Sus scrofa: one gene and its partners. The protein of the gene in region 1 binds, or shares a complex with, the protein of each later gene. Links are inferred from orthologs where the notes say so. Each region holds a gene or a part of one and is shown in the gene's direction. Other genes may lie near its edges. The genes, in order: SNRPD3, LSM3, GPKOW, LSM5, EFTUD2, SRRM2 and SART1.

Region 1 (3,191 bases):
ATGGGACTTCTCAGAGTTCCATTTATGGCTTAGTAGAAACGAATCTGACCAGCATCCATGAGGACACAGGTTCAGTCCCTGGCTTCGCTTAGTGGGTTAAGGATCTAATGTTGCTGTGAGCTCTGATGTAGGTCACAGACATGGCTCAGATCCGATGTTGCTGTGGCTGTGACGTAGACCAGTGGCTACAGCTCTGATTGAACCCCTAGCCTGGGAACCTCCATATGCCATGGGTGCAGCCCTAAAAAAGACAGAAAAAGGGAGGGAGGGGACTCTGCTACTATGAGTAGTACCATATATGTAAAGCGCTCAGCACAGTAGGTGCCCTTGAGTCTGCCCAGCTTTATTTTGTGGTGCCAGTTTCTGTATTTCTGGACTCCCCTTCCACTAGCCGAGGTTTGTCTTCCATGGGCACTATTCTCTGCTGGCACTGTTGGCCCTTCCTCACCAGCTGGTATTCCTTCCAGATGTCTAACATCACAGTCACATACAGAGACGGCCGAGTGGCGCAGCTGGAGCAGGTGTATATCCGTGGCAGCAAGATCCGCTTTCTGATTCTGCCTGACATGCTGAAAAACGCACCCATGTTAAAGAGCATGAAAAATAAAAACCAAGGCTCAGGAGCCGGTCGGGGAAAAGCTGCTATTCTGAAGGCCCAAGGTAGGTGCTCCTCTTGCACTGGTTGTGACATGTGAGTGTGTCCTGTACCTTTTACGAATGGGCCTTGTTATTGCTGAGGTGTGGGTGACCTGACTTCAGTGTCTCCACACCCACTGCCACCTGATCCTGTTCACAGGCTTATGCAAAATCCCAGGCGGCTCCTTGGAAAAAAGATGAGGACTTAAATGAAAGAGCAAATGTGTCCTGTAATGAGTCTTGGAGGCCTTTTGTTTTTGGAAATTCTGGGGAAAGTTGGCCCTGGTCCAGTTTGCTGAGCAGAGGCCCCTTGCAGTGTGACTTCTAAAAGCAATGGGGTAATAGTTTCTCAAGAGGCTGGGGGTGTCTACTGATTCCCAGCATCAATAGGGGAAATGTGGAGGGAATCCATTTTCAGATGAGAAGGAATTGTGAGCCATCTTTTTACCCATTCATTAAAGGGGGCCGAACTTACATTTTTGAAGCTTCTTAATGTTTGAAAACAGTCCTTCCTTTATAGTGCATTTGGAAAGACTAGTCTCTTCCTGGTTACTTGGTCTGACCTTTTTTCTGGGTTAGCCTAATCAGTTTTATATTTGGGTCCTGAAAAGCTCTGCTCCCCCTATTGATTAGCTAAGAAAGCCAGTGCAGTCATTAGGAGCAGTCTTAGTGTTGATGAGAAGATTCCAGTGCAGAAAGGTCACTGGATTCCCACCTCACTGTCTTCAGCTGCTATACATTTGTTCTATGTGAGGCAGCTTTTGAATTCAAAGACCCAGCAGAGTAATCCTTTAAAATGCCCTCCAGAAAGCTGATCAGACAGTCTCCTTGCCCTTCCTAGATGAGCAGTGGTCATAGGGAGATAGAACTAGAAGCTCAGGACCTTTTGTCCTGAAGAAGCAGTGATTTTCAGAAGTGCCAGCTTTGTGCTAGAACTGCTGTTCTCTCTGCAGGGGAGGGCTGCCCTCGTTGTCACTAACTGTACCAGCTTCCCTAGCAAAAGACACTGGGAGGCACTTGGCAGTGGCCCCCTGACTGCCACCTGAGCCTCTGTGCCGCTCCCATCCCCTTGCTATGGTCCTCCCAGCTAGTGGCCAGGCTCTCACAGGGCTTCCCTCTTCTGGTCAGCTCCGGGCTCTATGAGAGGAGGTGGGGGCAGTTAGTTGCCATCAGATATTTTCACTTGTTCTTCAAAGGAGTGGCCCTTCCTAGAACCCATGGGTCACAGAGACAGCAGTCTTGTTGAGCCCTGTATATGGGGAGTGGTTTTTGTTTTTTGTCTATGTTTTTTTCCTTCCTATTATGAAACATTTCACACATGCAAAATAGCTCAGAAAATAATAAAAACCCTCACCCAGATTCAATAGATGTTAACATTTAATATGTTTGTTTCACAATTTTAAGTGTGAATTAAATGCATCTGTCATGTTTTATTAGCTCACCCTGGGCCAGCTCTGAGACTTAAGCTTCTCTGTGGTTCCTAGACTGGCTTCATAAAACACCTTCGCTCTCAGGACTTGGGCTCTCATGGGGACCAGTGCTGGGTTGGAAGGTGGGAGGCCTTCCAGTTCTGATGCCAGACACTGGTCTCCTCCCAGGGTCTCCATTCCTCCATGCCCAACCCCCATGAAATGTGATAGGGCAGACGTGGTGCTGGACCGGGTGGCCTTTCAAGCCCCTTCCTGGGCCGATGTCTTGGGGTGCTGGCTGCTCTTGGCGGAGGACTCACTGACCTGGCCTTGTCCTCTTCCTTACCTTTCAGTGGCTGCGAGAGGGAGAGGACGTGGAATGGGCCGTGGAAACATTTTCCAGAAGCGAAGATAAATTTATCTGTTGGACAGAACTTTGCCCTCATGTTTTCTTTAGGTTATCTGGTTGTGAGGCAGGAAGGTGTGTGCTGGTGTATATGTCCTAGGTTATTTGGCATCTTTTTCTTTAGATCAGGGGAAATGCTACACTAAATAAATTTTTTTTTTTTCTTTTTGAGGATACAAAGACTGTGTTCCTTTTGGAGTTTTTTGTTGTTTGCTTTGGCAGCAGGTTAAACTTTGACACCCTGAGATGTCCTGGGGAAATGCCAGTAGTGGTTATTGATAAGCGAATGCAAGCTGCTGTTCCAGGCTGGTTGCTAGTTAAGCCCTTGGAACAGCTCCAAAAACATAGATGGCCTCACCATCCTTAGACACAGGCACTTACACGGTGTTTGTGAACATCATGACACACGTGGTCCTGGCCTGTGAAACCCTGGTGGCATTCAAAAAAGTAATCAGTATCGAGAGGTAGTTCAGAGAACCTCAAGACTCCTGTACAGCTTCATATGTAGTGTTATGACAGGGGACAGGTTCTTGGCACTTTACCGGAGCACCTCAGGGTTGACTGGCACAGCTGAGGTTCTTAACATAGCGAAGGTAAGTAGAGAGGTCAGGGTGTGCAGAGCAGGTAGCTGACCAAGAACATAGAAACTGGATCCATGGCTTGGAGTGGTCACACACTAAAAAGAGGTCCTACTGGGGTGCCGAGTAGGAAGGATGCACTCCAGCAGAAAAGGGGTTGAG
Region 2 (4,249 bases), on another chromosome or scaffold:
GAATACCTGGATTGAGACCAGGAGGAAGAGAAGTCAGCTACAGCAAAGCCATGGAAAAATATTCTAGGCAGAGGCTCAGGTGAGGAATCACATGGTGTGTGTGAGGAGGCCAAGAAGGAAGGTACCTGGCAAAGAAGACTAGGAAGAGACAACAGGAGAGGCAGCAGCAGCCAGATCATACAGGGTCTTGTAGGCCAAGGTGAGGAATCTGGAGGCTGTTATGCCAATGGGAAGACACAGAGAGTCTGAAGTGGGAGCATGGCAAAATCAGATTTTTTTTTTTTAAGGTACTTTGCGCTGCAGCACAGAAAACTCCTCCAGGGGGATGAAAAGAAGTAGGGAGACCCGTAGAGAGGCAACTGCAGTCGTTCAACTGAAAAGTGATGGTGGTTTCGACAGGGTATGTGGCCATGGAAACAGAGAAGTGGAGAGATTTGAGATATGGTTTTGAGGTTAAACTGATAGGATTTGCTTTCTGAAGGACTGGATGTGTGTTGGAGGGAAAAGGAGTTTGTTTTAACAAGTGATGAAGGGGTCAAAGACTGATATGGGGTAAAAGTAAGAAAGGGATAGGTTTAAAGGGGAAATCAAGTGTTTTGCTTTGCGCATGACAAATATAAGCAGCCTACTCGATATGCACGTTGTCAGGTGGGATCCAAATCTGGGACTCTCCACACACCACAGCACTCTAAGTCTTGGTCCCTTCGTCTCGTGGCGACACAACATAATAGCAGTACCTTTCACATATTCAGCCCCCTGCTTCCGCCTGCATCCTGGGGGCGAAAAGGAGCAGAAAGAGGCTACGCAGAGGAACTCGCGGTCGGCTGGGCTCTAGCGGAACGTCTCAGGGCGCATCACCTCTGGCCAGGAGAGCAAAGGCGCAGGGCCGCCGGGGAGCACCTGGGCACGTGCACACCCCCAGCCTCCCTAGGCCTCCGGAACACCGCCCCCAGCGCAGGTGGGAGGGAGGATGCCTCGCTCACACCTCCAGGAAGCCGGCCTCCTGCTACCCCCACCCAAACCTCTTCCACCCTCCCTACCAACCCCAACTCAGCCTGGCTCATACCCGCCTCCTTCTCCTCGCGCCGGGCTTTGCCCTCGCCCTTGGCCTTCTGGCCGCGCAGTTTGCGCCCCCGCGGCGCCCTGCCCGCCGAGCGCTTTGGAGCCATCTCTGCCCGGGCAAGACTCGCCTAGAGCGTGACGCACCGCGTCTCCGCGGGACGCAGCTCGCGCGCGGCCCCGCCCCCAGGCGGTGCAGGGCCTGGTCACGCCCCCTCCGGTAGATTCCCGCCTGCGCCCAGGCTGAAGCTCCGCCCCAGCCTCAAAGGGACCAATGCAAGCTGCAGGAAGCAAGAAGCTGTAAAACCAACCTCTTTCTACTTCCAGTGCATAGAGTCCTCACGTTTCCGGAGACTGGGGTGGGCATAGGGAGCAGCTCTCGTGCCCTCGCGAGAGGACGGAAAGGGCGCAGGGTTTGAAACATGGCGGACGACGTGGACCAGGTGAGTATCTTCTGAAGAGTTCGCTCTGGGGCGGCTTCTCCCTGTCCAGGCCAGGGTGTGCCCAGCTTTGTTTACCAGGGTTGTTTTCCCCAAGCTCAGGGTTGCTTTTCCCAAACTCACGAGAAAGTGGCCTGTCACGCCGCCTCTTTCTGGGTCATCACGGCCTTAACCTGCCTCTTGGTTAACCGCGCCCCCTCCGAATTTTGCCTCAGGCCCTGAGACCTTTGTTGTTCAAAACCCTCCTGAAAATTAGTTATTCCTCACTCTTCTCACTTCCTTTCTCTTGAGTCTCACGTTGATTTGTAGAATGAGAACCATTATCCTTGCCTGCCTCACGGAGCTCTCGGGATTCTGATAGAAAGGCTAATAAAACATTTAGTGGGTTATTGTCATTACTGAGCGCAACAATGATTACAGGGTCTACAAACACTAGTGAGTATCACCTTTGTATAGTTAGAAACCTTTCTAAATACCAGGGACATCGGCATTGACTTGGGAGATACCTGCCCAACTTGGGGCTTATATTCGAGGGAGCACAGATAACAAGTAAACATAAATATGCGAAACATATGGAAACTGTGATGTGGTAGGCAGGAGACAGGGAGCTGGTATTTAGAATAACTGATGGTCCTTCAGGCTTTCTCACCTGCTGTCCCGTCTTCTCCAAATGCTCTTCTTCAGATGTTTTTGTGGATTAGGCCGCAGCTTCAGCTGTTTACTGAAATCTCACCTCATATCAAAGAATAGGTCTCTGGCCACCTGCATAAAATGCACTCTCCCAGTCTGCCTTATTTTTCCTCATAGCATGTTCTTTGTTCATATTGAGTATATGGTTCCTTGTTTAATGTCTGTCTCCCCCAGCTAGAATGTGAGTCCCTTGAGAGCAAGAGTCTTGTTTTGTTCACTATTCTGGGTTTAGAACAGTGCTGGAAACACTCAACAAATATTCATTGAGTGAATTAATTGGATGGTCTGGGAGGCCTTTTGAAAAGGCAGTACTTAAAGCTACAGGATAAAAAGGATGGACAGTGGGAGGTAGGTCTCTGTCATGTATATATTCTTACAGTATTATGATTACTTACTTATATGCCTTTCTCCACTAGAATGAACTCCTTGAGGGTAGGGACTGACTCCTGTATCACTGATCTAGTAACTGGCTAGCTGGTCTTTAACAAACATCTGTTGATCTGGAGATGGAAGCAGTTGAGGTCAGGATTTCCTTTCTCTTTTTTGCATCTAGCCCTTTAAGGCTATAGAGACTGTAACATTCAGTCACCTTCCTCCAATGACCCTATGTAATCCCCGAAGCAGCTCTCCTTAAATAATCTTATCAACTCACCCTTCCCTTCAACCATCCCTTCCACATGGACCCCAGTCATCCTAGCCATCTTCATGAAGGGAAGATTGTGGCTTCCTCATTTTGTAAACAAGGAAACAGAATTAGAGATGGTTTTTAAACCCAGTTCATGAATGTCAAAGTCAGGGGTTGAACCCACACTGCCTGACTCCAAAGCCAGTGCTTTCAACCAGTATTTTTCTATACTGCCTGCTAAATATAATCATCTTACTGGCCAGATGGCACCCTAAACTCAGCCTCTCCTGCACTGCACTCATAATCTTTCCTCAAACATTCATCTCCACTTAGTATGTGGTAGTCATTGTGTATGTTCTTCCAATTGCTAAATGATAACATGAAAGAAAGATGAAGACCCTGAGACAGTAACTCCCTATACCCTGAAATGGGGTCAGACAGTTTGGATTTTGAGAGAAGAGAGTGCAGTCATGATTATTTTGTTGTACAGCTCCTTTCTGTGTAGGTATGTTTCAGCCCTCATTTATCCAGCACTTAATATACGCTAGGCACTGTTCTAAGCCTTCATATATGTATTTTAAGCCTCACAACAGTAGTATTAGGTAGGCATTCCTGTTACACACATTTTAAAAATTAGTAGACTGAGGCATAGAGGGGTTAACTAACTTGCTCACAGTCACACAGGGCACTGCTGGTTCAGAAACTTCACTCTCTAGAACTGTATTACTAAGCCTGTTTCTTTTATCAGCAACAAACTACCAACACTGTAGAAGAGCCCCTGGATCTCATCAGACTCAGCCTGGATGAGCGAATCTATGTGAAAATGAGAAATGACAGAGAGCTTCGAGGCAGGTTACATGTGAGTAAATTTATTAAATCACCTTGAAATTAGATTATTTCCTCAATGTTGCTCCCTAACCCCACCCCTTGGAAATGTAAAAACTGTCCACTGTGAAAGAGTGTTTTGAATAGATGAGGAGGTGGAAAGTCACCTGTATTTCTAAACACCAAATGAACTGTACTTTATTCATATGTTTAACACATTTTTCTCTTAATGGAAATATGTCTACTAGAGAACATTTTCATTTCTTTCATTTTTTCCTTTCTGTTTATTTGTAAATAAGATTTATTTGTCCTCCATTCTTATTTAAATGTTCTTTAAATTACTGACATGCATATAAATTTGCGTTTTCTTGTGAAAAATTTTACACAGGAATACGTAGAGTAAAAGGTGAAATCCTATTTCTTCTATTGGGTCTATAGTCTTTCAGATCTTTTCTGTATATTTACACAGAACAGATATACATGAATATGTGTCTATATGTATATATTTACACTGTATACACCCTCTCTAAAAAATGAATGGGATCATGCTATACTTTTGAGTTCTGAATGTCTGAGTTGCAGTACTTGTTGATCGAGCCCACATGTGCCA
Region 3 (4,127 bases), on another chromosome or scaffold:
ATAGAGCCACAGTAATCATGACAGTGTAATAATCATAGAGGCTGTGAAGGGTCTGCTAGGAAGAGGGAAGAGCATGGGCAAAGGCAGGGAGGTGGAATGACAGTGGGCATAGCTGGGGAACTTCGAAAGCCCCATGGGGTCACAAGAACAGGGCAGAGCAGTGAAGGGGGTCCAGTGTGTCCCCCTCAGACAAGGGCAGGTCCGAGATGGGAGGCGCATGGGGTCGAAGGAAGAATGAAAGCAGGGACCATTCAGCCATGTCACCGACAAGGACCGCCAGGACCCTGAAAGGAGGGAGCGAGAGGTGGCCCAGCCAGCCAGGATGGACACCAGGACACAGTGTGCCCGTCCACAGCCCATGGTGACATAGTAACTGGGCCAAGGGACTGTCGGGGGTGAAGGGCCTGAGACCCACACTGCCCTTGGCTGAGGAGGGGCCCTGGGTCCCTCCCGCCCTCAGCTTCTTCCTCCACAAAGTGGTGGCCACAGGCCTTCTCTCCCTGCTCCCCATTCCTCCTTCCTGCTTCCACTACAGGACCACTGTGCCCAAGCATTCCCCCCTCGGGGCCTTTGTCTCCAGAGCCCCTCACCCCCACCCCCTTTCAGACCTAGGACGGGCCTCCTCTCTCCCCTCTCATTGCCTGGGGTCCCCTCCACCCACGTGCCTTGAAAGCCTCCTCGAGTCCAGCCCCCTACTGTCCCTCCACTCTCCAGGAGACCCACCCTTCCCTACCTTTGGAATCCCCCAACCCTATCATGCTCAGGGCCCTGACGCCTCCCTCCCGTGGCCCCCCAAGCCTCCGAGGTCACCCTCCCCCCCAGCCCCACATTCCCCGCCAATTTACTGAGTGCCTACGATGTGCAAAGCTCTGCTGGAGGCTGCAGAATACCCTGGGTAACGTGGGTTCGGGGTCCGCATCCAGTTTCCAGTTGTCAGAGCGCAGGAGGGGCCCTGAACGTCTCTGGGCCTCGACGTCCCCCTCTCCCACGTGGAATGACGACATCCCCGGGGTGGAAAAGAGGTTTCCCACGGTGCTGGGAAAGAGAGGCAGCGCCTGCGGCAGAGCGAGGCCAAGGGCTCGCGCGGGCTCCCTCCCTGGGCCAGGCCTCCTTGCGGGCCGCCAGGTAGGTCACCGCGCTGCTTGGGGCGCCTGAGCACGGGACCGGCCGGCCTCAGCCGCGTCCAGGCCCGGGCAGGCGGCCAGGTGAGCTCGCCCAGGCGCTCCCAACACGCCACTGGCGTCCGTGCGTCCAGCGGGCCGAGCACAGGTCATGGAGCCGCGCGCGGGGGGCGCCACAGACCCTAGGGGGAGCGGAGGAGGTACGGGGCGAACGGGAGCGAGTGGACGCGTCCCTGCCAGCCCTCGCCCCGCCTGTCTGCTCGTCACCTTTTCCTTCTGGCAGGTGGTAAACAAGGCAGCCCTGGCGCCCAAGGGGCGGCGGCGGCCGTGGCGGCGGCGGCGGCGATAGAGGGCAGGGCCCCAGCGACCCGGGCTGGGCTCTGGGCCCCCTACCCGCACCCGCGCTGCGAAGCGGTGCACCAGACCCGGGGGCTCTCAGGAGGGTCCGGGGAGAGGTGCAGGAGGGGGTCTGCCCGGGGTCACTGGACACACCTGGGCACTCGGGCAGGGTCTGTGGTGGCCTCCGGGGGTTAGGCAGGGCCCTGCGAGGATATGGGAAGGGGCAATCCGGGGCTACGTGGGCCGGCAGGGGTACCTAGGCTATCTAGAGGGGAACCGGGGGTGCCGGGGCCACAGGGGCCGGACCGTGTTCTGTCGGGACCTCTGGGAGAGTCGGGATCCTTCTCGATGCTGGCGGGGAAGAGTTTGGGATCTGGGATTCTGGCGGCAGTTGGGGGAGGGGGCAGTAGGACACCTCCAGAGATGCCCACAGGGTGTTCGGAGGGGTCCGGGAATACTGGGGTTAAACAGCTAAGTCCAGAGATATCTTGGGGGCAGGCGGGGTCCACGGGCAAGCGAGGGACAGTCGGTGACCTTCGCAACTGTGGAAGAGTGGTCCCGGGTCTCCGGGATCTTGATGGCCACTCTAGGTCTTCGGTCATCGGGGGGCGTGGGGGCTCGCTGAGACTGAAGGTGGGCGTTGATCTGCCCTTTCCGTTCGCCAGGCGGTGGCCTTCCTCCGCGCGCGGGCCCCAGCGCCCGGGAGCGGCTGGCGCGGCTGGACGCGCGCCCCCTGGCGGCCCGAGCTGCGGCGGACGTGGCGGCGCTGGTACGCAGGGCGGGCGCCACTTTGCGCCTGCGCCCCAAGGAGGGTGCGTGACAGGGGCGGGGCGTCCAGAGGGCGTGGTCGGAGCGGAGCCGGGTTCTGGGGGGGCGGGCCTGGGATTGTTAGTTACTGCCCTGGGTGGGGCCAGCGAGTGAGTGTGAGTTGGGAGGACGAGGCTCGGCGGTGTTGAGGGGTCTGGGATTTAGCCTATAATATTCCTCTGGGAGGTGACACAGAGGACGGCTATTGGATCTGGCGTTGCTGTGGCTGTAGGGTAGACCCGCAGTTGTAGCTCCGATTTGACCCCTAATCTGGGAACTTCCATATGCCTCCGGTGCGGCCTTAAAAAGCTAAATAAATAAATAGAGAATATTATTAATTTCCCAGATATCCCCTACCTACACTTCAAACTGATTTTTCTTTTCCACCTTTTTTTTTTTTTTCTTTTACGGCCACACCCAGGGCATATGGTATGGAGGTTTCCAGGCTAGGGGTAGAATCAGAGCTGTAGCTGCTGGCCTATGCCACAGCCACAGCAACGCCAGATAGGAGCCGCATCTGCGACCTACACCACAGCTCATGGCAACGCTGGATCCTTAACCCACTGAGCAAGGCTAGGGATGGAACCTGTGTCCTCATGGATGTTAGTCAGATTCATTTCCACCAAGCCAGGATGGGAACTCCTGATTTTTCTATTTAATGAAATATTGTAACTATTGTTCCCTGTTGAGCCATGAAGAATTTTAAAACATCTGTAATCAAAGTATAACAGTTCCCTCGTGGCTCAAGGTACCTGACTGGTATCCATGAGGATGTGGGTTCGATCCCTGGCCTCGCTCACTGGGTTAAGGATCCGGAGTTGTTGTGAGCTCTGGTGCAGGTCACAGCCGTGGCTGGCATCCTGGGTTGCTGTGGCTGTGGCATAGGCCGGCAGCTTCAGGTCCAGTTCGACCCCTAGCCTAGGAACTTCCATATGCCGTGAGTGCAGCCCTAAAAAAAAAACCAAAAACACCCAAAGTATAACTAACATTCACTCATTATCATACAGAACATCCTGCCCCAATTTTCCATTCTTTCCTTCAGATCCATTCTTTGAAATGGAGTTATCGCATCAGGGAAGAGATATATATTATTATACTGCCCCCGATAAACTTTCAGTCAATTTATGCCCTTATCAGCAGTGTATGAGTGTGCCCATTTTTTTCTTATTCTTTTTCTTTTGGGGCTGCACTGGCAGCATGAGGAAATTCCCAGGACAGGGACTGAACCCAAAGTATAGCAGCGACCCAAGCTGGTGCAGTGACAACACCAGATCTTTAACCTGCTCGGCAGCAGGACAATTCCCCCATTTTCTTCCATCTTTAATAACTTTGGGCATCATCCATAGTACTTACTATTTTAGATCTCGGCCCAGTTAGGCTCTCTGGACCAAAGTTCTCTTATCTGTAAAATGGATTTTAAAATAGCCCCTACCTGCAGTTCCCATCCTGGTGCAGCGGTAATGAATCCGACTAGGAACGATGAGGTTGCGGGTTCAATCCCTGGCCTCCCTCAGTGGGTTAAGGTTCCAGCGTTGCTGTGAGCTATGGTGTAGGTCGCAGACATGGCTCTGATCTGGCGTTGCTGTGGCTGTGGTGTAGGCCAGCAGCTGTAGCTCCGATTGGACCCCTAGCCTTGGAACCTCCATGTGCGGCGGGTGCAGCCCTCAAAGGACAAAAGACAAAAAAAAAAAATAGTTCCTACCTTACAGAATCCTTTGGAGAACGAAAGGAATGCTTAGATGTGCAACTGGCATAGAGAACATACCATAGAAGTGTTTGCACTTTTTTGCTTGGGGTCTTTACCCATGAGTTAAATGAAGAACATTTCATTATTTATTTATTTGCATTGCTTTCATTATT
Region 4 (4,244 bases), on another chromosome or scaffold:
CACTGTATCAGAGCCACCTGTGCGACCCACACCAGCGCTCAGAGCAAGGCCAGGTCCTTAATCCACTTATCAAGGCCAGGGATTGAACCCTTGTCCTCAAGGATACTAATCCAGTTCCTTACCTTTGAGCCACGAGGGGAACCCCCAGAAAAGTATTTCTTTAAAGCTAGCTATGGGTTTGCAAACTTTTTTTCCTTTGGTCTTTTTAGGGCCGCACTCTGCAGTCTATGGAGGTTCCCAGGCTAGGGGATCAAATCGTAGCTGTAGCTTCTGGCCTAGGCCACAGCAAAGCAGATCCCAGCCACGTCTGAGACCTACAATTGCAGTTCATGACAACCCCGGATCCTTAGCCCATTGTGTGGGGCCAGGGATCCAATCCCCTGTCCCCAGGTACTGGTTGGGTTCCTTACCACTGAGCCACAATGGAAACTCCTACACTGAACCTTTAAAAGAAGGTAGGGGAGTTCCTGTGGTGGCTCAGTGGTTAAGGAATCCGACTAGGAACCATGAGGTTGCCTGTTCGATCCCTGGCCTCGCTCAGTAGGTTAAGGATCCGGCGTTGTGCCTGAGTTGTGGTGTAGGTCGCAAACGTGGCTTGGATCTGGCAGTTGCTGTGGTTCTGGCGTAGTCTGACAGCAACAGCTCCGATTAGACCCCTAGCCTGGGAACCTCCATATGCTGCAGGTGCAGCCCTAGAAAAGAAAAGAAAAGAAAAAAAAAAAAAAAAAAAAGGTAGGGAGTTCTCCTTTGTGGCTTAGAGGATTAAGAATCCAACTAGTATACCTGAGCGTGTGTTGGATTCCTGGGGTCGTTCAGTGGATTAAGGATCCCCTTGTTGCTGCGAGCTGCGGCTCAAACCCACATTGCTGTGGCTGTGGCTAGGCCGGCAGCTGCAGCTCGATTTGACTCCTAGCTTGGGAACTTCCATGTATCTGCTCTGTGGCCTTAAAAAGAAAAAAAAAAAAAAAAAAAAAAAAAAAAGCGGTAGATTCCTGTAAAAAAAAAAAGTTTTTGCTTTTGTTTTTTAACAAAAATTGCAACACAATAAAATCAGTGGCGGAAAAAATATTTATGTTGGTCTTCAGAAGATCCTTGGTTGAAATGAAATATAACCCAGGGAAAATCAAACGACTCAAACGTTTCTATTTTGCAGTCTTCCAGGTTGAGGAATATTTTATTTATAAGGCAAGATATCTTTAATTTGTCTTGGAAACTTGGAGGGCAAAGTATCTGCTGAGGCCGCAGAATGTTCAACGCACTGATGTATTCCCCCGGATCTCGTTGCGGAGGAAAGAAGTGACTCCGAGCGATTCACGTAGGACTGGCCCGATCGCACGCTCGGCCTCAGATTGGTCGAGCCTGGCCGGGCTAGGGGAAAAAAGCGGAAGCGCGCTCTTTCAAACTCGCCTTCCCAACGTCGGTAGAGGCTGGCCACTTCCGGCGTAGCCATGGCGGCTAACGCTACGACTAACCCGTCGCAGCTGCTACCTCTAGGTAATCGTTGTCCTGTGGGGAGCTGGGGAGGGGAGCTGAAGGGTTGCGGGCCGAGGGCCAGCGCAGTCCTTGACTGAGTGTTAGAGAAATGTATCTGACCAATTGTTTTCTTTATCCGCGGCTCTTTGGGCTCTAAGGCTCTGAGGCCTCAGGCCGCCCGCGTCTTTTCGGCGTGGAAGGGTTTTCTTGAGCCAGGACTTTCTGAGTTCTCACACCAAACCGTCACTGGAAAAGGTTCACACTTAGTGAATGCGTCGTCGGCCTTTTTTGTTGTGAGTTCGCCTTTACAGTAGTGGATAGCAGTCCCATTCTTCTACCTGGCATTTAAAATCCCTAGGTTAGACCCTGTTGTCTGTCTGGCCCGTTATTGAGAGAGGTAGCGGGGTCTGCAATGAGCTTTAAAAGGGGACACTGGAAATTAGCTCTGATTGTCATTCATTTATTCCACAAACAGTTTTTGCGCATCTGTAGACTAGACATCGTAACTTAGCTTCAGGTAGCATTCATGCCAGCGCAGGAGACAGGATGCCAGACAATTAAACATCATACCAAGTAACAGTAATTCTGCTGAAGAGATATTCAAGCTGCTCTCAGAGAACAGAGGATAGCCGTCTTGGGGCTGGGGAAGACAGTTATGTCTTTTTCTAATATTTTGTATCTGAAGGGTAATTAAGTTAGTGGACGTGGCGGTAATTGGAAAGTTTTTTCCTTCATTGAACAAAAAAAAGTTTCTTTTTAGGCCCGCACCCGAGGCACATGGAGGTTCCCAGGCTAGGGGTCCCATTGGAACTGTAGCTGCTGGCCTTCGTTTCTGCTGCGCCACAACGGGAACTCCCGAGACCTGAAGTTTTTGAGTGAATCCTTTTCTTGGTTTATCTTTCACCATATGTAAGTAATAAGTGCCAGTAAGTACTCACATATTTCTTGAAGTAATGAATGTGCAAAATAATTTTTTTCACCCCTCCCCCCACTTATTTTTCTTTTAAAAAACCTGTATCTATAGAGCTTGTAGACAAGTGTATAGGATCAAGAATTCACATTGTGATGAAGAGTGATAAAGAGATTGTTGGCACGCTTCTCGGATTTGATGACTTTGTCAGTATCCTTTTAAAAAGTGGGGGTATGGGTTTTTCTTTGTTTTTTAATTAAAAAAATTTTTTTTTGTTATTATTTTTTATGTCTTTTCTAGGGCTGCTCCCATGGCATATGGAGGTTCCCAGGCTAGGGGTCGAATCGGAGCTGTAGCCACCGGCCTACACCAGAGTCACAGCAAAGCGGGATCCGAGCTGCATCTGAAACCTACACCACAGCTCACGGCAACGCCGGATCCTTAACCCACTGAGCAAGGCCAGGGACGGAACCCGCGACCTCATGGTTCCTAGTCGGATTTGTTAACCACTGCGCCACGACGGGAACTCCATCTTCAGTTTTTTTTAAAAAAGTAAGAACTATAGTCAGTGCTTACTGATTATTATAATAAAAATTAATTTATTCTCATGGAATTCGTGGTAGTGTTTTAAGGGGTGTGTGTACCCCTACCAATCGCAAGCAATTTGAATTTGAGTCATTATGTTAAATGTTATTTTTTTATTTTTATTTTTTGTCTTTTTGCCTTTTCTAGGGCCGCTCCCTCGGCATAGGGAGGTACTCAGACTAGGGGTCTGATCGGAGCTGTAAGCTGCTGGCCTACGCCAGAGCCACAGCAATGATGTATCCAAGCCACATCTTCGACCTACACCACAGCTCATGGCAACGCCAGATCCTTAACCCACTGAGCAAGGCCAGGGATTGAACCCGCAACCTCATGGTTCCTAGTTGGATTTGTTAACCACTGAGCCATGATGGGAACTCCCAATGTTATAATTAAAACTGAACAAAGACAGAAGCCAGAGTAAATTTAACATGGTATATATTTTCTTAACACCAAATTTCAGATATGGTACTGGAAGATGTCACTGAATTGTGAGTAGTGTTAAAAATTAAAGAATTGGGCAGGGGGAATCTCTCTTTAAGGCAGTTGTAGCACTGTTGAGTCAGTAAAATGATGTATGAGAAAACACTGCCTGTTTGAATCACTAACATAGAAATTTTATGACTGAGGTTAGTAAAATTGGATTGTAGGATTATTACCTTAATTGTTAGGAAATTAGTGGAAACAAAGCTTTAAGGTAAAAGACACTAAAAGCAGTGAGGGATCTTAGGGCTCAGATCAAAAGTATTTAATACTTTGAATTGAATATAGAAAATGTAAATGATGGCTCAATTATATTAATTATAAAGATTGTGACCAGTAGTAGATCTGCTTTCAGAATTGAATTGATTACAGAATGGTATAATGGATAGGAAGCAGAAGCAAATGAATGGTTAAAAAAAATGAGGATAGTAAACATTTTATTTCATATTTGATCTCCTAGGCAAGTTTTAGCTTTTTAAGTGAAGATCAGCCCTAGTGGATGTGGATCTTAGATGAGCCCGTCAACTCTATTCCCTGTGGGGAAGAATAAACCAATGGATAACTTTTGTCTCATGTTTTCATTTATATATAATAATTAGCCTTTTGGGGGAATCAAAATGTTGGCTTTGACAATCACTGTTTATCCTGACTTTTTGTTTTGTTTTAATTTTTTCTTTATTTTTATCCTGACTTTTTAAAAAATCTGTTTAGTGAAATCACACCAGAAGGAAGAAGAATTACTAAGTTAGATCAAATTTTGCTAAATGGAAATAATATAACAATGGTAAGATACAGT
Region 5 (3,662 bases), on another chromosome or scaffold:
GTGGCTGTGTTTCAGGTGGAAGAGTCTGGCGAGCACGTGATTCTGGGTACTGGGGAGCTCTACCTGGATTGTGTGATGCACGACTTGCGGAAGATGTACTCGGAGATAGACATCAAGGTAAAGCAGCTGCTCGGCCAGGAGCTTGGCTCACAGCTCCAGACTGATTTTACAAGTGACTAAAGCCCTGATTCCCCAGGAAGGTCCAAGGGGAGAGGGGTTGTTGGGGGAGGAGATGCGTGTGGGAAAAGCATGATCTGTTGTCCATCTGTGGGAAAAGTTCAGACCTGGTTTTTCCCCTTCAGTGGGGGTTATTCTCAGTGTCCTACATTCACATTCAGGGTTCCCAAGCCAAAGTTATTCGTAGCCTTCTGTTAAGAAAATAGTTGCACCATTATGGAGCTCCCATTGTGGCACAACGGGACTGGTGGCATCGCTGCAGCGCCAGGATGCAGGTTTGATCCCCGGCCCGGCACAGTGGGTTAAGGATCCAGTGTTGCTTGTAGCTTTGGTGTAGGTCACACTTGCAGCTCAGATCTGATTCCTGGCCCGGGAACTCCATATGCACACCATGGGGCGGCCAAAAAGAAAAGGAAAAAAGAGTTGTGCTGTTAACCCATCTGTGGTGATTAGGACTTGGAGTAGATGGTTTCGAGCAGAGAGTGGGAACTGGCTCTTCTGGATTCATTGTGAAGTCTTGGTGTAGCCCCTCAGTCTCTTTGTTTTTTGTTTTGTTGTATTTTTTGCTTTTTAGGGCCACATCTGCAGCACATGGAGGTTCCCTGGCTGGGGTCAAATCAGAACTACAGCTGCTGGCCACAGCCACAGCCACAGCAACACAGGGTCTGAGCCGCATCTGCAACCTACGCTGCAGCTCATGGCAACACCGGATCCTTAACCCACTGAGCAAGGCCAGGGATCGAACCGGTGTCCTCATGGATGCTAGGTGGATTCGTTAACCTCTGAGCCACTGTGAGAACTCCCCTCAGTCTCTTTGTTGACACACACGTTTTCTCCAAGGCCATGTGGTGGTGGCAACGAGTGACCTCAGGTGCTCCTCTTGGCCCAGGACTGGTGCTGTGGAAGACCCTGGGTCTCCCAGAAGCGGGCCACATGGGGGCTTCAAGGGAAAGCTGTGCTGCGCAGAAGTCCTGGGTGGAGGATGGAACAGGCCCTTGCCAGCCTCCAAAGCTGGCTCCCACACACCCATGGTTGTGCAGTGAATGATGGATGTTGAGAGATACCCTGGGGGTCTCTGATTTACTCCTCCAGTGGCTCAGGAACATAAATTCTGCACTACCCAGGTTTTCCAGGCTTCCTAGTGAAGGTACAGCCTTTAGCCTGCTGTCATGCTTGTCACTAATGCTGACTAGGATGAGGGTTCTCGCAGAGCTAGTGTCAAGGGAACCTGACAGTCTGCTTTGTTTCTCAGGTGGCTGACCCCGTGGTCACGTTTTGTGAGACAGTAGTGGAAACGTCCTCCCTCAAGTGCTTTGCTGAAACTCCCAATAAGAAGTAAGCCAAGAGTCCTAGTGACCCTGGGACTCACTGGGGACATGTTCCTCTCCCCAAAACTCTATCCCAATCACGAGCGAGGTGGCAGTAGAGACCCCTAAGTCATAGGCTGTGGGTGCTCAGGTCCCTGGAGTTTTACCCCAGCCCTCTCATCCCTTGTGCCTTTGGACACCATGCTGTGGAATTTTTTGCCTTAGTTACTTCCAGGGTGCGTTTTCTTATTGCCATTTTTCCCTGTGTAACATGACTGTCTTAAAATTTTCCCTAGCAGCACCTCTACTGTTTTACTGTGTAATATACAAATGCTTTTCAAAGCTTTCAAAAATAAATTTGCCCCAAACGTTACTTTTTAAAATAGTGATGGATTCAAATGAAAGAAGACAGGGGAATGCCCTGGTGGTACAGCAGGTTAAAAATCCAGCATTGTCACTGCTGTGGCTCTGAGGTCACTGCCATGGCACGGGTTTGATCCCTGGCTCCGAAACTTCTGCATGCTGTAGGCATGGCAAAAAAACCCAGAAGACAGAAGATGAGTCCTTTTGGCCCAACTCTGCCCCTGTGGCTTTCAGTGATGTCACTGCCTTAGCTCTTCCCTTTGTCACCCTTTTTTTTTCTTTTGTCTTTTTAGGGCAGCACCCATGGTATATGGAAGCTCCCATATAGTCTAGGAGTCAAATTGAAGCTGTGGCTGCCAGCCTACACCACAGCCACAGCCACACAGGATCTAAGCCTCATCTGTGACCTACACCACAGCTCATGGCAGCGCCAGGTCCTTAACCCACTGAGCAGGACCAGGGTTCGAACCCGCATCCTCCTGCTTACTAGTCGGGTTTGTTACCCCTGAGCCACGAGGGGAACTCCGGTGCCCCTTTTCTTAAGAACGTCCCTTCCCATAGTCCTGCGACCCTCCTCGTTACCCACGTCCTTTCTGACTAGGAACAAGATCACCATGATTGCTGAGCCCCTTGAGAAGGGCCTGGCCGAGGACATAGAGAACGAGGTGGTGCAGATCACATGGAACAGGTGAGAACGGGCTCGGGTTCCCGCGCTGACAGCTTCCCCGCGGGCTCTCCGCCACAGCGCGTCGCTCTTGGGAGCGGTGTGGTCTCCTCCTCTTCTCTGCGGTCCTGGGTGCAGTGTGGCGAGGCTGTGGTGACTAGAGCCGTGGAGGAGCCGTGAATCCCGGAACTGTCTGACATCCCGGGCCCCTCCCTCCCCCAGGAAGAAGCTGGGCGAGTTCTTCCAGACCAAGTACGACTGGGATCTGCTGGCTGCCCGTTCCATCTGGGCTTTTGGCCCTGATGCCACTGGCCCCAACATCCTGGTGGATGACACCCTGCCCTCTGAGGTACGGCGGGAGCGGTGGGAGCCGCGTCGGTCTCCTAGCTCTCGAGTGGGAGAAGCTACAAGGTGTTCTTTCCCCGAGAGCATCCGGCATCTTCCGGTGAAGGAGAGTGCCCTTTGACTGGTGTGCCTGCCCACTCCTCCCTCTAAACTCTTTGGCTGTTGCCAGGGTCACTGCTGAAGGGCCCTCGTGTTTTGTGCAGGTGGACAAGGCTCTTCTCGGCTCGGTGAAGGACAGCATCGTTCAAGGTTTCCAGTGGGGAACTAGGGAGGGGCCCCTCTGTGACGAGTGTAAGTCCTCTAGCGCCTCTGCCTTCTCCACCCCAGTCCCCTAGGGTCCTTGCACCTGGGGCTCTGTAGTGGGCTGGGCTCATCTCTGGGACCTGGCAGGAGAAGTGGCTTGGGGCATACAGGGCCAGTCCACGTCCTGGGCCAGCTTCCTCTCCTTCCCTATCCTGCTGCCGCTTGGTACCTCCTAGAAATGGACGTCATCTCTAGTTTGACATTTGCTCCTCATTTCTGGGATGTGTTTGAGGAAGGGTATCAAGAGGAAGATGGGCGAGTTCCCCTAGTGGCTTAGCAGTAACAAACCTGATGAATATCCATGAGGATGAGGGTTCAATCCCTGGCCTCGCTCAGTGGGTTAAGGATCCCACATTGCCATGAGCTGTGGTGTAGGCCAGTGGCTATAGCTCGATTCGACCTCTAGCTTGGGAACTTCCATATGCTGCAGGTGCAGCCCTAAAAAGACAAAGAGGAATTCCCGTCGTGGCGCAGTGGTTAACGAATCCGACTAGGAACCATGA
Region 6 (3,662 bases), on another chromosome or scaffold:
CGAAGAAGGTCCCGTTCTCGAACCTCTCAGATGACACGCCGTCGATCCAGGTCCCGAACTCCTCCAGCTATTCGTCGCCGCTCTCGGTCTAGAACCCCACTGTTGCCACGCAAGCGTTCTCGAAGCCGCTCCCCACTGGTTATTCGCCGCCGTTCTAGATCCCGTACTCCGCGTGCAGCTCGGGGCAAACGGTCCTTAACAAGATCTCCTCCAGCTATCCGCAGACGATCTGCATCTGGAAGTAGTTCTGATCGTTCTCGTTCTGCTACTCCTCCAGCAACAAGGAATCACTCTGGTTCTCGCACACCTCCGGTAGCTCTCAATAGCTCCAGGATGAGCTGCTTCAGTCGTCCTAGCATGTCACCAACTCCTCTGGACCGCTGTAGATCACCTGGAATGCTTGAACCCCTTGGCAGCTCTAGAACCCCCATGTCTGTCCTACAGCAAGCTGGGGGTTCTATGATGGATGGTCCAGGCCCCCGAATTCCTGATCACCCAAGAGCGTCTGTGCCAGAAAACCATGCGCAGTCTAGGATTGCGCTTGCCCTGACAGCCATCAGTCTTGGCACTGCTCGGCCGCCTCCGTCCATGTCTGCGGCTGGTCTTGCTGCAAGAATGTCCCAGGTTCCAGCTCCAGTGCCTCTCATGAGTCTCAGAACAGCTCCAGCTGCCAACCTTGCCAGCAGGATCCCTGCAGCCTCTGCAGCAGCCATGAACCTGGCCAGCGCCAGGACACCTGCCATCCCAACAGCAGTGAACCTGGCCGACTCAAGAACCCCAGCTGCAGCAGCAGCCATGAACTTGGCCAGCCCCAGAACAGCCGTAGCACCTTCGGCCGTGAACCTGGCTGACCCTCGTACCCCCACAGCCTCAGCCGTGAACCTAGCAGGAGCCAGAACCCCAGCTGCTTTGGCAGCTTTGAGTCTCGCGGGCTCTGGCACACCCCCGACTACTGCAAACTATCCCTCCAGCTCCAGAACGCCCCAGGCTCCAGCCCCTGCAAACCTGGTGGGTCCTAGATCTGCACATGCCGCAGCCGTGAATATTGCCAGCTCAAGAACGCCTCCAGCCTTAGCCCCTGCAAACCTCACTAGTGCTAGAATGGCTCCAGCCTTGTCTGGTGCAAACCTCACCACCCCTCGAGTGCCCCTGTCTGCCTATGAGCGTGTTAGTGGCCGAGCCTCACCACCACTCCTTGACAGGGCCAGGTCCAGAACCCCACCATCAGCACCGAGCCAGTCTAGAATGACATCTGAGCGGGCTCCGTCTCCTGCCTCTAGAATGATCCAGGCTCCCTCACAGCCTGTTCTTTCTCTAGCTCAGGATCGGCCTAGGTCCCCCGTGCCATCGGCTTTTTCTGACCAGTCCCGATCTTTGCTTGCCCAGACCACCCCTATGACGGGGGCTCAGTCGCTTTCCTCTGGGACTGTGGCAAAGACCACGCCCTCTGCGGGTGACCACAATGGCATGCTCTCTGGCTCTGTCTCCGGGGCACCCCACCCGGAGGGTGGGGAACCAGCTGCCTCGTCGGGGGCCCAGCAGCCTTCCGCGTTGGCTGCCCTGCAGCCAGCAAAGGAGCGGCGGAGTTCGTCCTCCTCGTCCTCCTCTAGCTCGTCCTCGTCGTCGTCCTCGTCGTCATCCTCGTCGTCCTCCTCCTCCGGCTCCAGTTCTAGTGACTCGGAGGGCTCTAGCCTTCCCACTCAACCTGAGGTAGCGCTGAAGAGGTGAGGGGCTGTGGGAACTGCACGGGCAGGTTTTGGGGGTGGCTGGTGGGGTCGGGAGGGAGAAGCCCTGTGCAGAGGTTCTTGGCTCCTTGAGGAGGTATGGGGACCCTGACCCTTGAGCTCGGGGTAGAAGAGAATGCGGGGCGGGGGCGATGGTGGGAGGGGCGGGACAGGTGAAAGTCTCCGAAGCTCACTTCTCTAGAGGATAATGATGAGTTTTCCGTCTCTACAGAGGACAGAACTAGAGGAAATGGACTTAATTTTACAGCAGGAGGGATGGCAGTTAGACCTCAAGAGGAACTCCCTGGGCTGGAAGGATCTTCAGAGGTCATCCTATCCCTCTCCCTGCCTCCAGGCAGGCCGGCCCCCCCCCAGCCAACCCGCAAACACACAGGCCTCCCCGAGCTGCAAGCTGCGGGCTGCGGCTCTCCTCTCCGAGGACGACCACCCGGCTCGGCCTCCACACCTGAGCCCAGGGGCCTAATCCTCCATCAGGGACATTCTTGAGGTTTAACCTTGATCCCTTTTGCTGCGGGCCCCAGCCTGTTGCTCGCGTTAGCGGAGGTCACCGGCTCAGGCTTGCAGAGCTCCCGGGGCCGCTCGCAGGCACCCCTCCCCCACTGCCGTTCCTCCAGGCCAAGGAAGGTAGGGTTGGGGCTGGGGCAGCCTGTCTCCTTGTGACACCCTCTTCTCCCACAGGGTCCCCAGCCCCGCCCCAGCCCCGAAGGAGGCTGTTCGAGAGGGCCGTCCTCCAGAACCGACCCCAGCCAAGCGGAAGAGGCGGTCTAGCAGCTCTAGTTCCAGCTCCTCCTCGTCTTCCTCCTCCTCCTCGTCTTCCTCCTCCTCCTCTTCCTCCTCCTCTTCCTCCTCCTCTTCATCGTCCTCTTCCTCCTCTACTTCTTCCTCCCCCTCCCCTGCTAAGCCTGGCCCCCAGGCGTTGCCCAAACCTGCAAGCCCCAAGAAGCCACCCCCTGGCGAGAGGAGGTGAGTGCTGCCTTGCTTGAGGTGGAAGGGGTGGGCCGTGCCCCTGGGTGTGAGATCCCTGCCGGGCTGTCGAACTCGTCTGTGGTGTCTGGTTGTACGGGAGGAGTTGGGTTCTCCTCTCCCTGCTTGTGACTCTGTGGTGCCCTGTTCTGGCAGAGGGCTGCACCATCCGAGTGGGTGCTCAAGCCAGAACGGGGAAGTCCTAGGTTCCTTCCTCTCCCTGCCCCTGACGTGCAGCCTGGTCCCAGGGATTCTAGCCTTTAAGTGTCCCCGTTGCTACTGCCAGGGCTCTGGTCTGGCCACCGTCATCTTCTCCCGACTCTATCCACAGCCTCTTCCCTGTCTCCCTGCCTCCACGCCATTCTCTTCCACATGTAGCCAGAGGGATCTTTGTAAAAGCACATCTGGTTACTCCCTTCACTCCACAAATCCTTCCGGGACGCCCTGTGGCCTGCAGGATAAAGCCCCACCTCTGCGGGAATGGCGTGTGAGGCTCTGCACCAACTGGCCTTGCCTGCCCTGTGTTCTCCTCTCCTGCCCGCCCCCACACATGCCCTGTGCTCCAGCCACACTCGGCGCCTTGCAGTCTAAGGAGAACCCCATGCCTTTGGACATGCTGTTCCTCCTGCCTGGAATTCCCTTGTCCGCCTGGTGAACTCCTCGTTCTGCAAGACTCTGCTCAAACAGCACCTTCAAGAAGACTGCCCTGCCCCTCCCCTTCCCTCCCCTGCCCCGTGGCTCCCTGTCCTGGGTCCCGAGACCCGCGTACACCGGTCCTGCGGGGCTGCTTCCCACACATGGGGCCAAGCGACCCTCTCTTGGCCTCCCTTCACCATCAGACTGAGCCCCTCCAAGGGCAGGGACTGTCTTTATCTTTGCCTCCCCCGCTGCACCCCGTGCCCTGCCTGTTGGGCACTCGGATGGTGTGTGGGCGGATGGGTGAGTGAGCGGATG
Region 7 (4,211 bases), on another chromosome or scaffold:
TAGTGTGAGATTTCTGGTGGTGGGAAGGGGCTGCGTGTTGGGAGCTGGCGGTGGCAGGTGGGTTTGCAGCAGGCTTTCCCCACATCCCAGAGGAACTCTGGCTGTTCTGGCTGCCCCCTCCCTGTGCACAGCTCTGCCTCTGCTCCTGAGGTGTGAGCATGGCATCTCCAAGAGCAACAGCGGCAACTTGCCCTAGAAATGCTGGGTCCTAGAAAGTCAAGAGTGAATAGGACAGAATGGCTTCTGCCTTTGGGAACTCCCAGTTCTGGGGGGGAGGAAAGCGGAACTTTAAAGGGGAGCATAATCACAGACAGATGGGCCTCCAGATGGGGCAACTGGGAGGTGAGGGGTGTCAGGAGGGATGGAGAGATTGTGTGAACAGAGTTTTTGTTGTTGTTGTTTATTTGGCTGTGCCTGTGGCATGCGAGAGTTCCTGGGTCAGGAATTGAACCCAAGCCACAGGAGTGACCCAAGTCGCTCCAGTGACAGTCCCGGATCTTTAGATCTTTAACTCGCTGCGCCATAGGAGAATTCCTGTGTAAACTGAGATTTTAGCTTCAAGCAACTTCAAGTTAGAGCTCCTCTCAAGAGGGAAAAAAAAAAAGCAGCAGCAGCTCCCGCGAGCGCGCTCTCTCTCTCTCTCTCTCACACACACACACACACACACACACACACACACACACACACACACACACCCCGATGTGCTAAATTTTGCGTTCGATTTCAGGGGTTCACAGGCATGCAAAGGCCCATCTCGAGCTCCGTAGCAGTCAAAGCGCACGTTAAAAAAACCCAATTCAGGGACCGTGGGAAGGCAGCGTTTGCAGACAATATTAGTTGTGGGGGCTGGGAGGAGGCTGGGTTGTGGAGCTGAGGGTCTCAGGAGCAGAACGTGCTCCGTCCTCCTACACCTGATCGGCCACGACCCCAGGGAGTCTACTAGGAGGACTTCTGCTGGAGCGGCGGGCGCTGCAGTGAGCATCCCGTGGCTGAGGGTGTGCAAGCGGAGGGAAGCCAGGGAGGCCATGCTGGCTTAGATGGGCCCTAGGTCCTTCAAATTCTGGGATACGGTCTTCCCCGGACTCGAACGCGCCCCTCAAGCTTGAGCGCACGCGCAATCCGACCACTATGTCAAAGACCGCCGCTCGGCCAGTGCCGGCCGCGAATGCGCAGTCGGGCCCGATCCCAGCCTTCCCATGAGCCTTTGGGGCAGCTCCGAGGCAAAGGACGGAAGCAGCCGCTCTTGGTTTCCGGCAACGCGACGGCGCAGCCGGGCCCGACCCGGAAGTGTTCCCATTTTGCGCCGTCGGGGCTCGGCGGCGGCGGTGGCGGCGGCGGCGGCGGCGGCGGGGCTCGGGTGGACCTACCACCATGGGGTCGTCAAAGAAGCACCGCGGGGAGAAGGAGGCGGCCGGGACTACGGCAGGAGCGAGCACCGGGAGCGCCACCGAGCAGCCGCCTCGGCACCGGGAGCACAAAAAACACAAGCACCGGAGCAGCGGCGGCGGCAGCAGCGGTGGCGAACGACGAAAGCGGAGCCGGGAGCGTGGGAGCGAGCGCGGGAGCGGGCGGCGCGGGGCCGAAGCGGAGGCCCGCAGCAGCACGCACGGGCGGGAGCGTAGCCAGACAGAGCCCTCCGAGCGCCGCGTGAAGCGGGAGAAGCGAGATGAAGGCTACGAGGCCGGTGAGGGGCGGGGCCTGGGCAGGGGGCGGGGCGATGGGGAGGGTCTCAGGGTGGAGGGCCTCGGGGATGGAAGCCAAGCCCACAGGCCCAGCCATCCCCAGGCCCGTCGTCAGCGCATTTGGAAGGGTCTTGTTTTGATTATTTGGGATTAAGGGTTGGCTTTCTCTGCTAAACTCCGTGAAGGTGGAGATTTTCTCTGTTTTCCTTAACTGACACATCACAGGCACTCGCTAAATGTGTCGAGTGAACGCATGGAGTGGTACCATCGTGTGTAGAGGCAGGAGGACACCTGGTATTGGGCAGGTTATGTAGAGCTCATAGCAGAGACATGAGGCAGGGGTCCGAACACAGAGGCTCCTGCAAGCCTGTTAAGATAATTGAATTTTGTTGGCGTTCCCGTCCTGGCGCAGCGGAAACGAATCCGACTAGGAACCATGAGGTTGTGGGTTCGACCCCTGGCCTGGCTCAGTGGGTTAAGGATCCTGCACTGTCTTGAGCTGTGGTGTAGGTCACAGGTGCAACTCGGATCTGGCGTGGCTGTGGCGGTGGTGTAGGCCGGCAGCTGTAGCTCCAATTCGACCCTTAGCCTGGGAACCTCCATATGCCAGGGTGTGGCCCTGAGAAAACAAAAAACAAAAAATTTTGAACTTTGTTTCAAAAGTAATAGGGAGCCATGAATTCGAGCTGGGGAGCGAGTTAGTCGTATTCACGTTATCACAGAGAACACTGTGTTGAGAACTGGGTAAAGAGCAGTCAAGACCCATAGAGGAGGTAAGGACTGGCCATGGCTGGCACCAGGGCAGCAGCAGCGGGATGGAGAGTCGTTGACCCATTGGAGAGGTGTTTTGGAGGAGGAGGTGACAGAGCTTAAGCACTTGGATGACAGTGGGAAGGAGAAGAAGGAATTGAGGATGGTCCTTGGATTTTGGCTGGTGTGACCAGGTGGGTGGTAGTGTTGTCGACGGAAGTTGAGTTTGGAAGAGAAGCAGATTTTTTGGAGAGAGACAGTGAATTCAGTTTTGAGGAGTGTTGCATGAGGCACATGGGGAAACTCAGGGCTTGGGCAGGACAGAGCAGTTTGAGAGTCATAAGGGTTCAATGGCAAATGAAGTCCCTTGAGAGAGTGAGGATTGAGAAGCCAGGGTCGGGGGCAGAACCTCAGGAATGTCTACGTTTTAGTAGCAGGCGGAGCAAGATGGTACAAAAAAGGAGGTTGGATGTTCCCCAAAGCAAGAATACCATAGCATCTCATGTCATGGGATCTGTGGGCGTGATCAGTGGTGTCACACACCACAGGAGATGAGGCAAAACCAGAGTGGCAGAGAATCCATCGGATTTACAGACAAGGAGGCTGGCGACCTTGGAGCGAGCACGGAGGTGCTTGGGAGTCAGGGTCCAGGTGGGGTGGGAGGGAAAGACGTAGGTTGCGAGGTGGCCATGCTGGAGGGAGGAGCTCCAGCCGATGGCGTCCAGCTTCTGTGTGTGGCATTCTGTGTGTGACATTTGCTGTTTATGAGGTGGGTGAAAGAGCTCAGAAGCGCTGCTTTATTTCCTGTAGCATCCTCACAGCACAGGCGCCAGTAAGTGTATTTTTTGACTGTGTGAATTACACAGAGAGAACACAGATATGCTGCCAACATGGGCCCTGCCCTGTGAGCAAAAACAGACCTGGAGATGGCCGTGACCGTGCTGTGGAGTGCAGGGGAGAGGAGTTGGTGCTGATCAGGAATCAGGACTCCGGCCTCTGATTGTTGCGTTTGGATAGCATCTTGCTAATCAGAGTGAGGCCAGAGAGGGCCGTGTAGGTTGTAACAACAGAATACACAGAGGTGGAGAGGTGGCAGAGTGAAGGATGTGGCAGGTTGGACCTTTTGGATCAGAAGGTGTGTCGACAGCCTGGGAGTCAGGTAGGAGGAGCCCCTGGGATGGAGGAAGGCTGCTGTTCCCTGATGTCTCGGGGCAGATGGGGGACCCTCACCTTCAGCCCTGCGGCTGGAGCCAAGGAAGTGGCTTCTGGGCCCCGTGTTCAGCTCCTGAGCCTCTCTCTCTCTTGTTCCAGCTGCCAGCTCCAAGACTAGCTCGGGCGATGCCTCGTCACTCAGCATCGAGGAGACCAAGTGAGTACTGTCACCTTTATGCTACTGTGTCTTCTTCTGAGACGGGCAGCTTTGGGGGCAGCAGGTGGGTGAAGCTTTCTCATCGTAGAGCCTTCTGCTTGGGATTTGGAAGTGCCATAGAAACCATCTTAGCCAACGATTTGCATTACAGAAGTGGACACTCAGACCCAAGAGGAAGGATGGCATTTTCCTGGGTAGGGGCAGGCCAGGCCTTCCGCCTAATGCAGAGGCCAGTGCTCTTCTGAGCGCTGGGTCAGGCCCTCGGTTTGGGACCCTTCGACCCTCAGCCCCGTCCTGTTTTCACACTCCCCCCCCCATCTGTCCAGAAGTGCACTCGGTGCCCCCATTTCTTCGACGGCTTCTAACACGTCTATCTCTTGTTTTCAGTAAACTCCGGGCAAAGTTGGGGC

Evidence for each region.
Region 2: SNRPD3 (region 1) and LSM3 share a complex: the UniProt entries of both Homo sapiens proteins name them as parts of the U4/U6-U5 tri-snRNP complex. The link is inferred for Sus scrofa from reciprocal best matches to the Homo sapiens genes SNRPD3 and LSM3.
Region 3: SNRPD3 (region 1) and GPKOW share a complex: the UniProt entries of both Homo sapiens proteins name them as parts of the minor spliceosome. The link is inferred for Sus scrofa from reciprocal best matches to the Homo sapiens genes SNRPD3 and GPKOW.
Region 4: SNRPD3 (region 1) and LSM5 share a complex: the UniProt entries of both Homo sapiens proteins name them as parts of the U4/U6-U5 tri-snRNP complex. The link is inferred for Sus scrofa from reciprocal best matches to the Homo sapiens genes SNRPD3 and LSM5.
Region 5: SNRPD3 (region 1) and EFTUD2 share a complex: the UniProt entries of both Homo sapiens proteins name them as parts of the minor spliceosome. The link is inferred for Sus scrofa from reciprocal best matches to the Homo sapiens genes SNRPD3 and EFTUD2.
Region 6: SNRPD3 (region 1) and SRRM2 share a complex: the UniProt entries of both Homo sapiens proteins name them as parts of the minor spliceosome. The link is inferred for Sus scrofa from reciprocal best matches to the Homo sapiens genes SNRPD3 and SRRM2.
Region 7: SNRPD3 (region 1) and SART1 share a complex: the UniProt entries of both Homo sapiens proteins name them as parts of the U4/U6-U5 tri-snRNP complex. The link is inferred for Sus scrofa from reciprocal best matches to the Homo sapiens genes SNRPD3 and SART1.

The regions. Positions count from the first base shown.
Region 1 is NC_010456.5:49,595,385-49,598,575, forward strand, and holds the end of SNRPD3 (small nuclear ribonucleoprotein Sm D3), read left to right. Parts: intron 1-467; coding exon 468-660; intron 661-2,398; coding exon 2,399-2,460; 3' UTR 2,461-2,631; downstream 2,632-3,191. UniProt on the Homo sapiens protein: Plays a role in pre-mRNA splicing as a core component of the spliceosomal U1, U2, U4 and U5 small nuclear ribonucleoproteins (snRNPs), the building blocks of the spliceosome.
Region 2 is NC_010455.5:70,345,856-70,350,104, reverse strand, and holds the start of LSM3 (U6 snRNA-associated Sm-like protein LSm3), read left to right. Parts: upstream 1-1,424; 5' UTR 1,425-1,481; coding exon 1,482-1,502; intron 1,503-3,562; coding exon 3,563-3,673; intron 3,674-4,249. Other genes in the region: XPC (DNA repair protein complementing XP-C cells), read right to left, coding at 630-773, 1,067-1,169. UniProt on the Homo sapiens protein: Plays a role in pre-mRNA splicing as component of the U4/U6-U5 tri-snRNP complex that is involved in spliceosome assembly, and as component of the precatalytic spliceosome (spliceosome B complex).
Region 3 is NC_010461.5:43,188,925-43,193,051, reverse strand, and holds the start of GPKOW (G patch domain and KOW motifs-containing protein), read left to right. Parts: upstream 1-1,213; 5' UTR 1,214-1,272; coding exon 1,273-1,404; intron 1,405-1,477; exon of another isoform or gene 1,478-1,630; intron 1,631-2,125; coding exon 2,126-2,272; intron 2,273-4,127. UniProt on the Homo sapiens protein: RNA-binding protein involved in pre-mRNA splicing. As a component of the minor spliceosome, involved in the splicing of U12-type introns in pre-mRNAs.
Region 4 is NC_010460.4:40,751,035-40,755,278, forward strand, and holds the start of LSM5 (U6 snRNA-associated Sm-like protein LSm5), read left to right. Parts: upstream 1-1,355; 5' UTR 1,356-1,448; coding exon 1,449-1,494; intron 1,495-1,505; exon of another isoform or gene 1,506-2,382; intron 2,383-2,497; coding exon 2,498-2,593; intron 2,594-3,428; coding exon 3,429-3,456; intron 3,457-4,159; coding exon 4,160-4,232; intron 4,233-4,244. UniProt on the Homo sapiens protein: Plays a role in pre-mRNA splicing as component of the U4/U6-U5 tri-snRNP complex that is involved in spliceosome assembly, and as component of the precatalytic spliceosome (spliceosome B complex).
Region 5 is NC_010454.4:18,508,774-18,512,435, forward strand, and holds part of EFTUD2 (116 kDa U5 small nuclear ribonucleoprotein component), read left to right. Parts: intron 1-15; coding exon 16-117; intron 118-1,429; coding exon 1,430-1,512; intron 1,513-2,448; coding exon 2,449-2,535; intron 2,536-2,733; coding exon 2,734-2,860; intron 2,861-3,059; coding exon 3,060-3,147; intron 3,148-3,662. UniProt on the Homo sapiens protein: Required for pre-mRNA splicing as component of the spliceosome, including pre-catalytic, catalytic and post-catalytic spliceosomal complexes. Component of the U5 snRNP and the U4/U6-U5 tri-snRNP complex, a building block of the spliceosome.
Region 6 is NC_010445.4:39,288,976-39,292,637, forward strand, and holds part of SRRM2 (serine/arginine repetitive matrix protein 2), read left to right. Parts: coding exon 1-1,724; intron 1,725-1,740; exon of another isoform or gene 1,741-1,932; coding exon of another isoform or gene 1,933-2,051; intron 2,052-2,423; coding exon 2,424-2,708; intron 2,709-3,662. UniProt on the Homo sapiens protein: Required for pre-mRNA splicing as component of the spliceosome. As a component of the minor spliceosome, involved in the splicing of U12-type introns in pre-mRNAs.
Region 7 is NC_010444.4:6,370,406-6,374,616, reverse strand, and holds the start of SART1 (U4/U6.U5 tri-snRNP-associated protein 1), read left to right. Parts: upstream 1-1,274; 5' UTR 1,275-1,371; coding exon 1,372-1,684; intron 1,685-3,743; coding exon 3,744-3,801; intron 3,802-4,188; coding exon 4,189-4,211. UniProt on the Homo sapiens protein: Plays a role in mRNA splicing as a component of the U4/U6-U5 tri-snRNP, one of the building blocks of the spliceosome. May also bind to DNA.